Linked DNA regions of Drosophila melanogaster. The protein of the gene in region 2 interacts with the protein of the main gene of each other region in a biochemical or structural test. Each region holds a gene or a part of one and is shown on either strand. Other genes may lie near its edges. The genes, in order: rho-4, grk and ru.

What was found.
Region 1: of the proteins of grk (region 2) and rho-4, one has a biochemical effect on the other in vitro, tested with the Drosophila melanogaster proteins (one study listed by BioGRID).
Region 3: of the proteins of grk (region 2) and ru, one has a biochemical effect on the other in vitro, tested with the Drosophila melanogaster proteins (one study listed by BioGRID).

Annotation. Positions count from the first base shown.
Region 1 is NC_004354.4:11,597,796-11,602,418, forward strand, and holds the start of rho-4 (rhomboid-4), read left to right. Parts: upstream 1-2,042; 5' UTR 2,043-2,291; coding exon 2,292-2,531; intron 2,532-4,623.
Region 2 is NT_033779.5:8,431,751-8,436,373, forward strand, and holds the start of grk (gurken), read right to left. Parts: upstream 1,849-4,623; 5' UTR 1,665-1,848; intron 1,523-1,664; 5' UTR 1,333-1,522; coding exon 1,263-1,332; intron 745-1,262; coding exon 127-744; intron 1-126. Other genes in the region: D12, read right to left, coding at 2,459-4,477, 4,535-4,623. UniProt on the Drosophila melanogaster protein: Critical for defining the anterior-posterior and dorsal-ventral axes of the egg. May signal directly to dorsal follicle cells through the receptor torpedo (top).
Region 3 is NT_037436.4:1,368,525-1,373,147, reverse strand, and holds the start of ru (roughoid), read right to left. Parts: upstream 2,521-4,623; 5' UTR 2,268-2,520; intron 1-2,267.

The DNA.
Region 1 (4,623 bases), on a different chromosome or scaffold from region 2:
TTTAGTTCGCTCCGCTGTTTTTAGGTGCTACGCGCTTTATGGCCCGCTCTTAATCTTATCGCAAATCAAATCAAACCGCGGCCAATGAGCACCGTAATTTCACTTTTTGGCTAACGGTAACGGCACTTCCGCTCTCCGAATTCGATATTCAAACAGTCGCATTCCATCGAAAAGCGAAACAAGAAGTGGCCGTAAAAATGACCGTGAAAACAGTGAATCGCCAGCAGAGCCAAACGCCCACCCAGCAACGGCAATTGCATCAGCAGCGGGACGTCGAGAATGGGCTCTATCCCACGATTTCGGACGGAATATGCCACATTATTATCGGATAGAATACAGGAAATGTAGGATTTAGGTAAGGGAATAATAAATTTCTAGTAGTTTTCAAGTCATTTTGGAGAGCACATAGTGGTTAATTCATGCACCATATTAATGCATGGGAAATTGGCGAAAAACAAACACTCAGCCGGCACTTCGCGGCACTCACACCTACACAATCATACGTGCGTGTGAATGAAGTTGCTTGTGCTTGTGGTGGTCTGCCCTGTTGCCGTCTTCTTCTCACCCTCGGTGAAAGTTGAGTTCAATGAATCATCTGAGCATCGATCCGCTATGGCGGCGATCTTCACTCTTCGCACTCACTCAACAGGGGGATTCTATCTACGAATCCATCAGTTTCGGCCGCTTCGATTCTAGTTTAGTTAGCACTCTCTTCTGGTTGATTTGGGCAGATTCATATATATATATGTATATAGGTATGTATGATCATACGATTAGCATACGAGATAAGCTGCCAATCCAATCCAAACACAAGGCGCTGGAAATCGGCATTCCATACACATTCCTACTCTCTTTTGGCTGGAAATCTTATCCGATTTCCCTCGCTTCAAACATCAAAATACTCTGTTTGGGTTTCCCGAGCGTTGATTCATTAATCTAGCCATGATATAACAACCAAAATAATATCAAGCTATAGAATATATTTTTTAAAGAAAAAAAATCAGTCTGCGGGCATCCAGTTCTCAGCGAGAACTTAGCGGCATCCAGCTAATGGAGGAGACAGTAGTGGCTTCGCCACAGCAGCCATGCCTTCGTCGTTCCGTACGTCTAGCGGGTAGGATGCGTTCGCAGAACTATAGAGCCATTCCCAAGGTTATGAATTTGCGGCGCAGCACGCGGCTGGCGGGAATCCGGGAACATGCCACCTCCGTTGTTGTGGAAAACGGGACGCGCCTTCAAAGTGCAGTCCAAAAGAAACGCACGCGAAAAGTGAAACCTGCGCCCAAGGCCTGGATGGCCAATAATACTAAATGTTTACTGGGCCATCTTAACAATGGAAACGTTAAGCAATTGCAGGAGATTCCAGGGATCGGTTCAAAGACCGCCTCTATTTTGGCCGTGCACAGGTCAGTTGACATACGTTCATTTGCGTTTTACCCAATAACCCTTAATCCTTAATCCACATTTTTCAGATCCCGCCTGGGTTGCTTCAAGAATCTAATTGAAGTCAAATCCCTGCCCATTTGGTCGGGAAATAAATGGAAACGATTTTCTCAAATTAACTGTCTTGACACTTGATACAATTACTAATTAAATAGCATTTTAATTCGAATATAGTATAGTGATTGTTATTTATGTGGCATATACTTTGATTTTACAACTATAGTAGGAGTAAAAAAAAAGGAGCCGGATATCCTTAAAGAAACAGTTATATATGTGATTTATTTTTTAAATAGGCTTACCTAGGATATATTATATAATATATTAAATTAACAAAACAAGTTGGCATTTTAAATTAAAGCACAAATTGATTGTTATAAAAGTATTAAACAAAAAAAACTAGTCAAAAAAGAAAAACTTTCAAATAAATGACTTATTAAAAGTGACCAAATAAATAATATTCATTAACTTTTTTTTTCAAATTTAACTCCCTTTCAGCGTTGCCAGATTGGGTTGCATGCGGGATTTGATTATTTTTATGCACAAATTCTGGGTAGAGAGCCACTTGTGCTGCTCCGGCAGCTGGTCACACTGTACAGTCGCGCAGTTTGGTTTCTTTGGTGCGAGAAGACGGTTGGTGTTGTTATTTTTTTTTTTAGTTCGCTCCGCTGTTTTTAGGTGCTACGCGCTTTATGGCCCGCTCTTAATCTTATCGCAAATCAAATCAAACCGCGGCCAATGAGCACCGTAATTTCACTTTTTGGCTAACGGTAACGGCACTTCCGCTCTCCGAATTCGATATTCAAACAGTCGCATTCCATCGAAAAGCGAAACAAGAAGTGGCCGCAAAAATGCCCGTGAAAACAGTGAATCGCCAGCAGAGCCAAACGCCCGCCCAACAACTGCAATTGCAGCAGCAGCGGGACGTCGAGAATGGGCTCTATCCCACGATTCCGGCCGAGCGACGATCGCCCCCCTCGCGTCCGCAAACGCTGCGACAGGACACCATCGATATGGAGGAAATACCGCTCAATCAGACGAACAGCCAGGAGCCAGAGGATCGGCGCAAAATGCACGAGATATTTGACAAGGTATGTAGGACTTATAATACTCGCAATTCCCTTCCCCAGCACAAGTGGCAGCTCCTCCTAAGTATTAGATCTTTTCTGGTTTGTAGAGCCAGCTAACCAAGTAGTAGCCATGGTAACTATACCTATAAAGGTATTACTGTTCACACGGTGTTACAACTTAGCACTATATCTTTAAAGTAAATCTATGATGATTTAACGTTGATTTAATAGTTATGCCACATTATTATCGGATAGAATACAGGAAATGTAGGATTTAGGTAAGGGAATAATAAATTTCTATTAGTTTTCAAGTCATTTTGGAGAGCACATAGTGGTTAATTCATTAGTTAGAACCAGCTACGACTAATTATCCCATTTAAACTGGCTGGTGGTAGGCAACAGAAGGTTAATGCTGAGATCTTGTGAAATTGCACCATATTAATGCATGGGAAATTCGCGAAAAACAGAAGAACGACTGTAATTAAAACACACAGCCGGCACTTCGCGGCACTCACACACACACACTCATACGTGCGTGTGAATGAAGTTGCTTGTGCTTGTGTGGTCGGCCCTGTTGCCGTCTTCTTCTCACCCTCGGTGAAAGTTGAGTTCGATGAATCATCTGAGCATCGATCCGCTATGGCGGCGCTCTTCACTCTTCGCACTCTCCCAAGAAAACCCCACCTTTAACCCTTCAATGGGCCGGCGGGCGAAAACCGACACGATCAGATGCTTTTGTTTGCAAACATGCCAGTGGAACAAACTTAAGGTATACATTATTAAAAAAAAACCTTGTATCTTGTGGTGATTAATAAATACGTGAGATTTGATTCCCGTTTAACATTAATGGGTTAAGAATTCGATTATAGTGCCTAAATAATCAACTGCTATATGTACTTATATCATACAAGCATAATTACACTTTTCGGTGTATTTAACCCATCACCGCTTGTCTGTCAGTCAATTTTGCACTTTCGCAGAATTCCGTATCACATTTTATAAGCTTTTTTTCGCTGCAGTTTGTTTTCTTAAAGTAGAAAAATCGTGTGTGCTGCAAAAAAAAATGGGGGGGAGGGTGGTTGCCTACTGTTGGGGGACTGAGTTTTCTTATCGTGACAGAGGGTTGGGGGAAAAAGACCAGCAAAAAAAGAAGAAGAAAAACCGGTTATAAATTATTGTTTGTTCGCTTTGAGTTCTGCCTTTGTTGTTGTTGTTGCTCTTGCTTTATTCTTGGTGGCGTTAGTCACTTAACCCCCAACTGACACCCACCGCCCACCTGTTTGCCCGAGTGTTACCATTATCAATTTAACAATTTGTGGATTTCGTCTTTTTTAATTCTACCAGTGCGATTGCCTCAACGTGCAACGTCCTCTTGATTCACCATTTGTTTATAGCCATATAGAGTGTGTAGCGTTCATATCGCGTTCAATGTACCCCGGCAACAAGGGGATTCTATCTACGAATCCATCAGTTTTGGCCGCTTCGATTCCAGTTTAGTTAGCACTCTCTCCTGGTTGATTTGGACAGATACGTATATATGTATGTATATAGGTATTCTAACCATACGATTAGCATACAAGATGAGCTGCCAATCCAATCCAAACACATTCGATGCCGCTGGAAATCGGCATTCCAGACACATTCCTATTCTCTTTTGGCTGGAAATCTTATCTGAATTCCCTCGCTACAAACATTCAAGTGGCCAAAATACTCTGCTTGGGTTTTCCGAGCGTTGATTCAATAATCTAGCCATGATATAACAACCAAAATAATAGCAAGCTATAGAACATATTTTGTCAAAAAAAAAAAAATCACCAATCTCAACCAACATTATTCGTTGGAAAGTTCAACTTGAACCCGGAGGGGACTGTATCATTTTGATATTTTTGAAATATCATGTTTGATATGTCACAGATAACAGTCTTTCTGATATGGGAAAATAGCAGATAGATGACCATTTTCGTTGATATTTTTATTCATTGAGCTGTGCAAAAGAGTAAATCTTAAGTTGTCTGTTGGCTAATATAGGAAAGTTTTGGAACTTCAGGTGTTCCAATGGTTTTACAATTAACTTTTTCCGAAAACCATATTTTTTACAAACTGACCAAGTGGC
Region 2 (4,623 bases):
TCAATGAGTTCATTTAGTTACCATGTACTGGGTACAGACTAATAGATATCGTTAGTTCCATCCGTTCCATACAACACAGGAAGAGACTTCTGTGAATGGATGGCTATGCTAGAGTAGAGTACCTACCATTCCAGCTCTTGTAGGCGCACCGCTCTCCATCGTAGTCGTTAACGCAGAGGCAGGAATGGAAGACTGTGTTGTTCACCATCGGATGCTGGAAGCAGTGGCCGCCGTTCAGGCAAAAGCTAGTATTGTAAGCTTCGCTGCAGGGCAGCATCTGAATCTCTGTCTCCTTGTCGTTCGGGCTGGGAGTCGTGGAGTCAGGCGTGCTGGACGAACTGGGGTCAGGTGGCGGTTCTCCGGTGTGGGTAACAGTTTCGGGTGTTGTCACTGTCTCGGAATCAGTGATTGGTGTGCTGCTTTCGCTGGCCAACCAGGTGTCGGTACTGGATCCGAGAATTATCCCATCCTGTTCCGGATCCGCAGCAATGGAGTCGTCTGCGTTTGGCAGTTGGCCGCCCGAGTCCGGATTGGGATCCGTATCGGGATGCAGCTGGTCTGCCTCCTCCTGGGCCGAGGCCTCCAGTTGCTTGCGCTGCAGCTCCAGGCGATTGAGCAACTCAACCGCGGTCTCCTGGATCTGCTGCTGCAGCTCGTGCGCATGCTCGTGCATGTGGCTGTGCTGATGCTGCACAATTTTCAGCGTATGCTCTCGGAGAAGTAAGATTCGGCTCGAACAACAATCTGCAGAATACAGAAGAAGGTGTGCGATTAAGAAAACAGGACATTTCCAGTGATCGCAAAGATACAGAATAGATAACGTTGTAAAGCTCAAGTTGAAGTACAAAAAGCTTTCAGTTTTTAGTGCGGCAACTTTTGAAATTATCATAAAAATGTCTCCCTATGGTATTATTATTACTAATTTTTTTAATTTTTAAGAATGCAAAGTTTGTTCATAAGGACAGTATTTAAATGAAACTCAAAAAAATCTTTAGAAATAATTCACAAATATGTATATTATCTGAAGTTTACTTCATTCATCATCCACGAACAGAAAGCTAATACAGGATTTTACACAGTTTTCAAGGAAGTTTTAGTTTTTTAGCATAACAAGTATATAATCAGCACTGCAAATATTTTATGATTTGTTGTAGCTGTTTTCCAGTTTTTTCGACGCTAGAAATAGCTTTTTTTGTGGGAGAGCCTGGCAATACTGGCCGTAATATTGGAATCTAAAAATCAGGTGGAGATTATGTACGTACCTGTGACGGCGACAATTGTTGAGAGCACGAAAATTACTTTGAAAATCCGAGTAAATGGGATTTGCATCATTGGAAAACGCTTGGGGTGGCGCTCCGAAAAATATTGATTGGGTGGACCGATTGTCCACCACTAGGAAAACTGAGTCAATGAAGGGGTCTAAACGATCGAGGGATCGAGCGGCGTGCTGGCCGCAAATGCAATTTGGCGTCGCAACAGAAGCTGAAACATACTACACACTTGCATCTCCTTGTGGATTTTACTGCAAAATAAAAATAGAACATTTTAGCGCCTCCACATTTTCTGTCGCACGAACGCACACACACGAAACAAAAAAAAAAGGAAAAGAAATAGCATTCAAAATTGGTGATCCAAAAGCTTTTCATAGATTATCTTAGACGTACTGGAGCTGCTATATGGCCTGTAGAAGGCTTCGACATTATAATTATTATAATGACTCGTGAATCATTTTATATATCAGGCAAGTAATTAATTAGTTAATCTAAAGAGCAGCAAGCGCGGGAAGCGGGCTCTTCTCTGCTCCACTTTGATTTTAGGTCTTGTTGCGCGCACGTCGGAAAAGAGACTGAGGAAAACAGAGCCAGAGAAACAGATGGACCTCATCCCTACATTGGCGGCATTGGCATGCGCCATGAATGAAATCGATCGGTGAGCGGGGAGAGCGAAGAGAGCGCCCCCAAAAGAGATGCGATTGCGACCGATAATAGTCGAAGAATCATATGGATATGCTAAGAGCTGCAAAAAAAAACCGCCCTTTAACAGTTATTCAATTTGTTAACGGCACTTTTCACTGCATACTTCTAGGGCACTATAAAGATATATTACTCTGTGAAGATAGCTGATAAGACTTAAAAATGTTTACATGTTTCGTACAAATATGCAATTGTAGCGATTATTATTTATATTGATAAAACAATTTAAAAGTCTTCAGCCAGATATTCAAAATTTAAAAATTAATGACCACTCATCTCATGATTTCGTCCAAAATATGATAATCGTTGATAATTAAAAACGCAGTATTCATTTCTTCGGACATTAATTTAGTTAATTTATTGCTTAGATTTATGCTTACCAACGAGTACAAGGCTCTAATTAGATATCAACTAATATCCCAGTAGAATTTGAACTATGACGCGGACTTGATAAAAAATAAATTCAAAACAATGGCAACTGCACATTAGATTTGTGGTTCTATCGGAGCAACTCCCAAGTGACTGTTTCCGAGGAAATCCAATTCGGAACACAGACTGATGACACGGCCTATGTCCTGAGGTTGGAGACACAACGGAGCATTGGCCGCCGCCGGTGGCAACTGTTCCAAAGTCTCCTGTTGCAGTTTCGCCGCCAAGGAGCGGCGCACCAATTTCTCAATAAAAGTGCGCAGCACTTGTCCGAGCATCGAGAGAGCCAGTGGCTGGGAGACGCCAGGCGGAGATTCCTCCGGTTCCAGTGTGATATTAATGTCCTTGCACATTTCCTGGACCAGCTGCAAGGTCGAATCCAAGTGCTTCGGCGGAGGTAGATAAAGTAGTTGGCGATGATTCACCATTTGGAAAGATACATCTGCTGAGTTTGTTAACCTGGACGCAAGCGGATGAGGTTTGTCCACACCCAACACATCGATGAACTCCTTATCCCGCATCTGTTGATCATGACCAAGCAGACGATCGGATTGCTTGGTTATCCAAGCTTCCAGCCGATTGCCTGAGCTGAGACTGCTATAGGCCGACAGTTGCGGTTGGGGCTCGCCCTTTAGTTGCGCCTGAACACGCCGAGCCAGTTGCTCCTCATCGCTCAGTTTTTGTTTTCTCTTTTCATGCACGACAGGTAAAACATCTTTGAGAGCTGGCGTATAACCATGAACCCTGGCGAACGCCACTATCTCCCGTAAACTCCAGTAGTGTTCCTTTCCACTAATGTCCAACTTATGCAGCTCGTGGTGCTGCATCAGACAGCGACGGAGCATACGTGCGCGCAGGTACTCAAAGCAACGTTGTTTTAGAGCAGTGTGATTGTGGAACTCTTCGAGGGTTATACAAGTGAATGGATACTCCTTTTGCTGATCAATCGACGCAAGCGGGAGGCGGCTCAGCAGGAACTCCACAGCACTGCGCATATTTCGGAATTGTGCACTTCTAAAGATGTGCTCCAGCCTTCGGGGTCGCGATTGTATGGTAGTGTCCACAATTGGAGGTAACAGCATTGGCTTTTCCTCCATCTCGCCGCTCATGTTGGCGTACCCATGATCGTGCTGCATGCACTGCAGCATATGCCATCGCGTTTCTGACGGTGGCTTAAGAAGACTCAATTGTGGTTTCAGCAGGGATTGTTGCTTTGCAGCCTGCTTAAGCTTGCGCTGCAAGGGATCGATAATGTACAGCTTTCCTGCTCTCTGAAACACAACATTCTTCTTGCCCTGGTGATGGCCATTGGGCACAGGCTTTATTGGTGGCCGATCCGACGAGGATTCCTTCCACGCTCTCTGCGGAGATGCCGGTGGATAGTGCTTTACTGGCGAAAACTCCTGCCGCTGCCTTTCTGGCAAGGATTCCTGCCTAGGACTTCGGCCGTTTACTGGCAGATAGACCACAGAAGGCTTCGAAGCGGTGACCTGAGCCGCATTTAACCGAAGTTGAGTCCTAGGAGGCGATGACGGAGTGGGTGGCTGCTTTCTTGGACTGTAGTTTAACTTCAGGGGCTCTGAAACCAACACAGTTGGTTCAATTTTCTCAATGTCGTCGCTGAGTTCAATTTTGTTGATACCAGCAAACAGATTGTCATCAAGTTCCTCCTTATTTTGAGTGATTGAAATGGTGCGCGGTTTGCATGACTCTCCAGGAAAGGCGAAAACCGAAGGCTCTAAAACATTCGGAGCAGCCAGAGGTGGAGCAGGAACTGCAGTCTCCTGTTCATGGGGAGGATGAGGTTTGCCGCTTTTCTGTTTCGTTATCGCCTGTTTTGCTCTCAGCCATATTTCCACAGTGGTCTCTGCGCCCATCGTGTGCAGTCCACACATTGTTTTATCCAGCACCACCGTGTGCATTAGTTGCACGGGTTTCTGCTGCAAGTGCTCTTGGAAAAATAGCTGGATGCGCATCGGAAACTCGCCCCAACCATGTCGGTTAAGCTGAAACGGAGACCTGTGCACGTCCACGATGTCGTTTGGGCGGTATGACGGATGGAGGTGGAAGCGCACCTAGAATTGCGAAGAAGAGATTGAATCACTCCGTACGTGCTTATGGGAATTACTTACCTTTTTAATGTATTTTTCAAGTGGTTCAGGTAGATCTTTGCCTTGCACATAGACCAACCACTTATAGGTCAAAGCATTCCCACCTGTGC
Region 3 (4,623 bases), on a different chromosome or scaffold from region 2:
TGGCGGGGGCGTGGCTGGTCGGTGGGCAGTGGGGGCTGGCGGGGGTGCAACTTCGAATGGTTGCATAATCCGGCAATTTCTTACGGAATTTATTCAATTTCTGAAGCACTAACTAGCAGCATATATACTTGTTATTTGAAAGTTAAATTGATTAGCTTAAAAGTTGAAAATATTTGTTAACATTTTTGGTTCAGAAAAGCCTAGTTGCACAACAATTTTTTACACACTATTTCGCTTCTGCACTGATTTATGAGCTCTATTTTGTATGCGTTTGTGCGAGTGAGTATCTCAAAGATACCATCAATGTATCTGTATCTGTATCTGGAGTGTGTGCGTGTGCACCTTGGCCGACAAGACAAACTACAAAACTGCTTGAGCCATTGTCTTGCAACAGCTCAACTTGAAATGTCTGCCTAGATTAATGCGAATGCGAGAGGGTCTGACACTAATGAAGGTCAAAGGTGATCCAAAAGGGAAGAGCGGTGAAGGGGTGAAGGGGTGAAGGGGTGGTGCGGAGGTGGAGACAGCTTAAGAATGATTAAACACTATAAACTGTTGACTTCTGCGCTGGAAAATGGGGGAGAACGACACAAATCAGTTGCTGAATTTAATAGCAGTCAGAAGTTTTGGCCAAATTTAGTTCAGCAAACGGAAGCAAATGGTAATTAAAGTCTTACAACTTGGATAGTAATTTTAATTCACAGCTTTCCTTTGATACAAATATGACTTGGGAAACTTTTTTTTACCATATATCTTTAAAACTTTTTCACTTCTGCACACGTTAGTAAAAGAAAAGTGGCCCGAAAATGGGTAAACAAAACTAAGCCACCCTGAAATCAGGTCTTTGGGTCTTTTTTCGACTTTTTTTCATTTTTTTTTTTTGTTTGTTTCGCTATATTGTTTTTATTTTCGGCGTTGCCTCTCTCACTCTGACGCGTATAAAAGCAAACTTGACACATTTAAAAACTATATATTTACAAACAAAAAACGAACAAGAGACACGAAAAATTAAAATGCATTGCGTATGATTTTTTCAAGAATAGCCAACGCATTAATTTTTTCGTATTTTCATGCACTCGACAAAAACTTCACCAGTGACAAAAGCCCAAGGCAGCCCCAACTCCCCTGTCATTTTGTCCATGATTTGTGCATCTGAAACGGATCTTGGTTTTGATTTCCATTTCGATTTCGAGACTTTGGCACTTTTATGTTTAGCAAAAGTTTCACGAGAATAGAAAAATTTCGGAAAGTGAATAAAATTCGCATCGTTGCGATTGAATGAAATACTTTTCGAGGCTGCGTAAATAAATCAAAGTGTAAACAAAAGTGAGCCAAATGTGGCGTCTTCTCGCCCTGGAGACACACGAACTTGGTGGGTTTGGTGGCAAGATGGATGGCCAAACTGGGAGCTCCGAGGACCGCCCACACGCACAGACAGACCCTCTCCATCGATCGTTGGCCACTCCTGCCTACACGCACATGGGTTTCCATTCGAAAAGAGACAATGGAAATCGAATAGCCAACCAACCAGTAGCTAGCTGGCCAAGAAGTTCTGGCCAGAAGTTGGCCAGAAGTAGCACTTGTCCGAGATCCCACAAAAGATATCGAAAATGGAGCAGGGCAGCCCACACATACATATATATATAAAAACCGGGTGACCCGGGGGAGATTTCAACGGAAAGTGCTTGCCATTTGCTGACAGCTCGGGCGCAAACGGTTTTTAGTTAAATCCGCGCTCCACGTTGCGTATACGCAATGTGCGACTGGTGGCTGGCTGGGTGGGTGGGAGTGGTTGGTAGCATTGCAGTTGGCCCGTTGCAAACGGCAGCAAATACGGATGCCGAACGACAAGCACAGATGTTTTTACAACCCAAAAGATACAAAGCAGACAGAGATACTGATGCTGAAGCTGCTGCCGCACTGACAGATGCAGATTTACATGCACTGAAAACAAAAACTGCGATGGCTAACTAATAAGATTGGTTTCTGTTATAAATAGAGGATGGATATTAACGGCAGTAAAAGAGAATATTATATATTCAGTGCGATAATTTTTCGCACCATGAAGTACACCTTTATTTTTTGCAGTGCTCGCTCTAGTCAAATACGTTCAGCTCAGCATGGTTGAGTTTGGAGCTGAGTTTTGCCAAGTTTTAAGCCGATGGATTTATTTTTTTGGGGGGTTTTGCCGGGATCTCCGTGGGTGAGATATGGAATAGATGGGGGATTGAGAGTGGGAATCCTAGGCGGGGGGTGTTATGACTTACCGAGGGGGGTGATGAAATGGTTGACTCTTGTGCAGGCCATCCGGGGGGGGCAGGATTATGTGAACTGGTTGCAGCTTCTATTTTTTATTTCTTTCGAGGATGAGCGACAAGTTACTGCGGCAGTCGATCCGAGCAGTAAATGCTACGAACGGTACGAATGTTCGGTGCTTTTCCACTAAGTTTTTCCTCGGTGGTTTTTCTCTACTTTTCCAGTGAACCGTTAGTTGCGCGTGCTGCCGCCGGTTGCCGTTACAAAGTACCGTTCACAACTGAGCTCGTTTTTTATGCGGCCCGATACTTTTATAGATTCGCAAAGTGCCGGCCTGGCCAAAAACCGAAAGGGGTAGAGCCTCCTTACCGGAGGGTTTACATGTGCACAGTCCGCTGTGTTAGTTGTGCGTGTGTTTGTGTGTGTGTGCTTTTTTTCCATTTTGCACCCCTTTCGAAAAGCCGGCTCTTGCTGGCCAAGGTAAGAAACCCCCCCCCCCCCCTGCAAACCGCCTCCCCCTTTTAAGCCACCCTTTTGAACAATAAAGCCAGGTGCAGCAAACATGTTCGAGGTTCGAACGCGTTGCCAAGTTTTCCTTTGTCGTGGCTTTTTGCTTTTTTTGGCCACCATCCGGTGAACGGTACACGCAAAGGAGTCACGTGAGGAAGTGAGATGGGGCGAACGAGTGAAAGGGAGAGGGATAGCCAGGAGCCAGCTGGCTTTTACCGGCAGCTGCAGGTGCGACAGAGAAAGTGGAGAGACGGAGAGCGAGAGGGAGACAGTTGCAGATGCAGCCGCCGACGGATAATTAACAAGTCACTTATTAAGTTAGCATCTTTGTCCCCTTAATCCATTTGTGAAACAGTGTTTTCCCTTTTTGGCTAATTAACTCAATTATTGCATTACCAAATGTGAAACAATTGGGGGAAACAAAAAAAGCGAGGCTTATGCCTCAAATTATATCTGGCCAATGTTTTTTCGTTTGCAAACTGATCTTGGTACTGTAAAAAAGTAAAAGTTTATGTATAATTAGATAGATTTGATAAAAAAAACACCCAACGTTGATTTCTTGCCCCTGATAAATAAATCAAAGCACTTCGGTCGCAGCTGCTGTTTTCGCCTTGTTTATTGGGTGTCAATAGGTGCATCCATCAGATACAAGACACGAGATACAAGATACAAGACACGAGATACGAGCTACCACCAGCCACGAGATACTTATTTATGTGGGCTATCTCTGGCATCTCTTGGGACCAGTCATCTCTTTTGTATCTGAACTTGTTAACATATCGAGTATAATTTTGATGTGTTGTGGCCTCCTTCCATTTCCCAGCTCAAATAGCAAATAGCAAACAGCAAACATCGAAAGGGCCCAGATACACTTAACAATTGCAGAAACATCTTCATCAAATGGGCCTCATTCTGCTGCCGCTGACAGCTGATGAGGGCGCTGCCCGACCCTTTGTACCGCCCTAGCCCCCTCTCACTCCCACACAGCAGCTATCTCGCTCGCTCGCCCTGCGAATACCACCTCGAATCGCGCAGATTGGATTTGAATTGACTTCAAGATGAATAAGGTGGCAGTTGAATAGGGTCTATGGACCCCCTTTTTTTATGAAATTAAGGGTGCCAAGAGGATAACTGTTAATATAATATAGGGGTGCTGTTTGCAATTTGAATTAAATGCAAGCTAGTTACTATAAAATAACTAAAACTAAGATTAAAGTTTCTTCCACATTACTAGATAGTTAATATGAAGAAGGTAGCTCGATAATAAATTAAAAAGGCACCAAATGCTTTGGTTTAAAAGTTAGCACTAAATACTAGCAACGACTAAAAAGCTTATAATTAATATCTTGTGCCGCAAATGTTTTTCCAGCGCGACCAAAGAAAACACTTTCAATTCAATTCCATTACGCGCAGTCGTAAAATAGAAAACACAGGATAAACATTTGCCCATAAAAATTGCATGGGCTAAAAAGACAATTTTTTAAGCTGTCATTTTTTTCGTGTTTTGTATATTTTTTTCCTCGCTCATTTTCACTCTTGCCCATTTATTTTTTTATATTTTCTTCAACGTGTTTAATTGCACAAAAAAAAATGAAGAAAATGAAACGAAAACAAAGAAAAAATCATAAAAGCCAAAAATAATACACACAAAAAACAAGGTGAAAATATTGCGCAAAGCAAAAATAAAAAATCACAAAAATAACAAAAGAGGCTACAACAAAAATCAAACAAATTCAAACAGCCAGCGAAAAGCAAAGGCAAAAAGCGATTTATGCAAAACACAGATAAGCCGAAAAGTACAGGAAAAAAAAACAAAGACGATTAGGCGATTTAACGCACGCAAAATAAAATCCAATA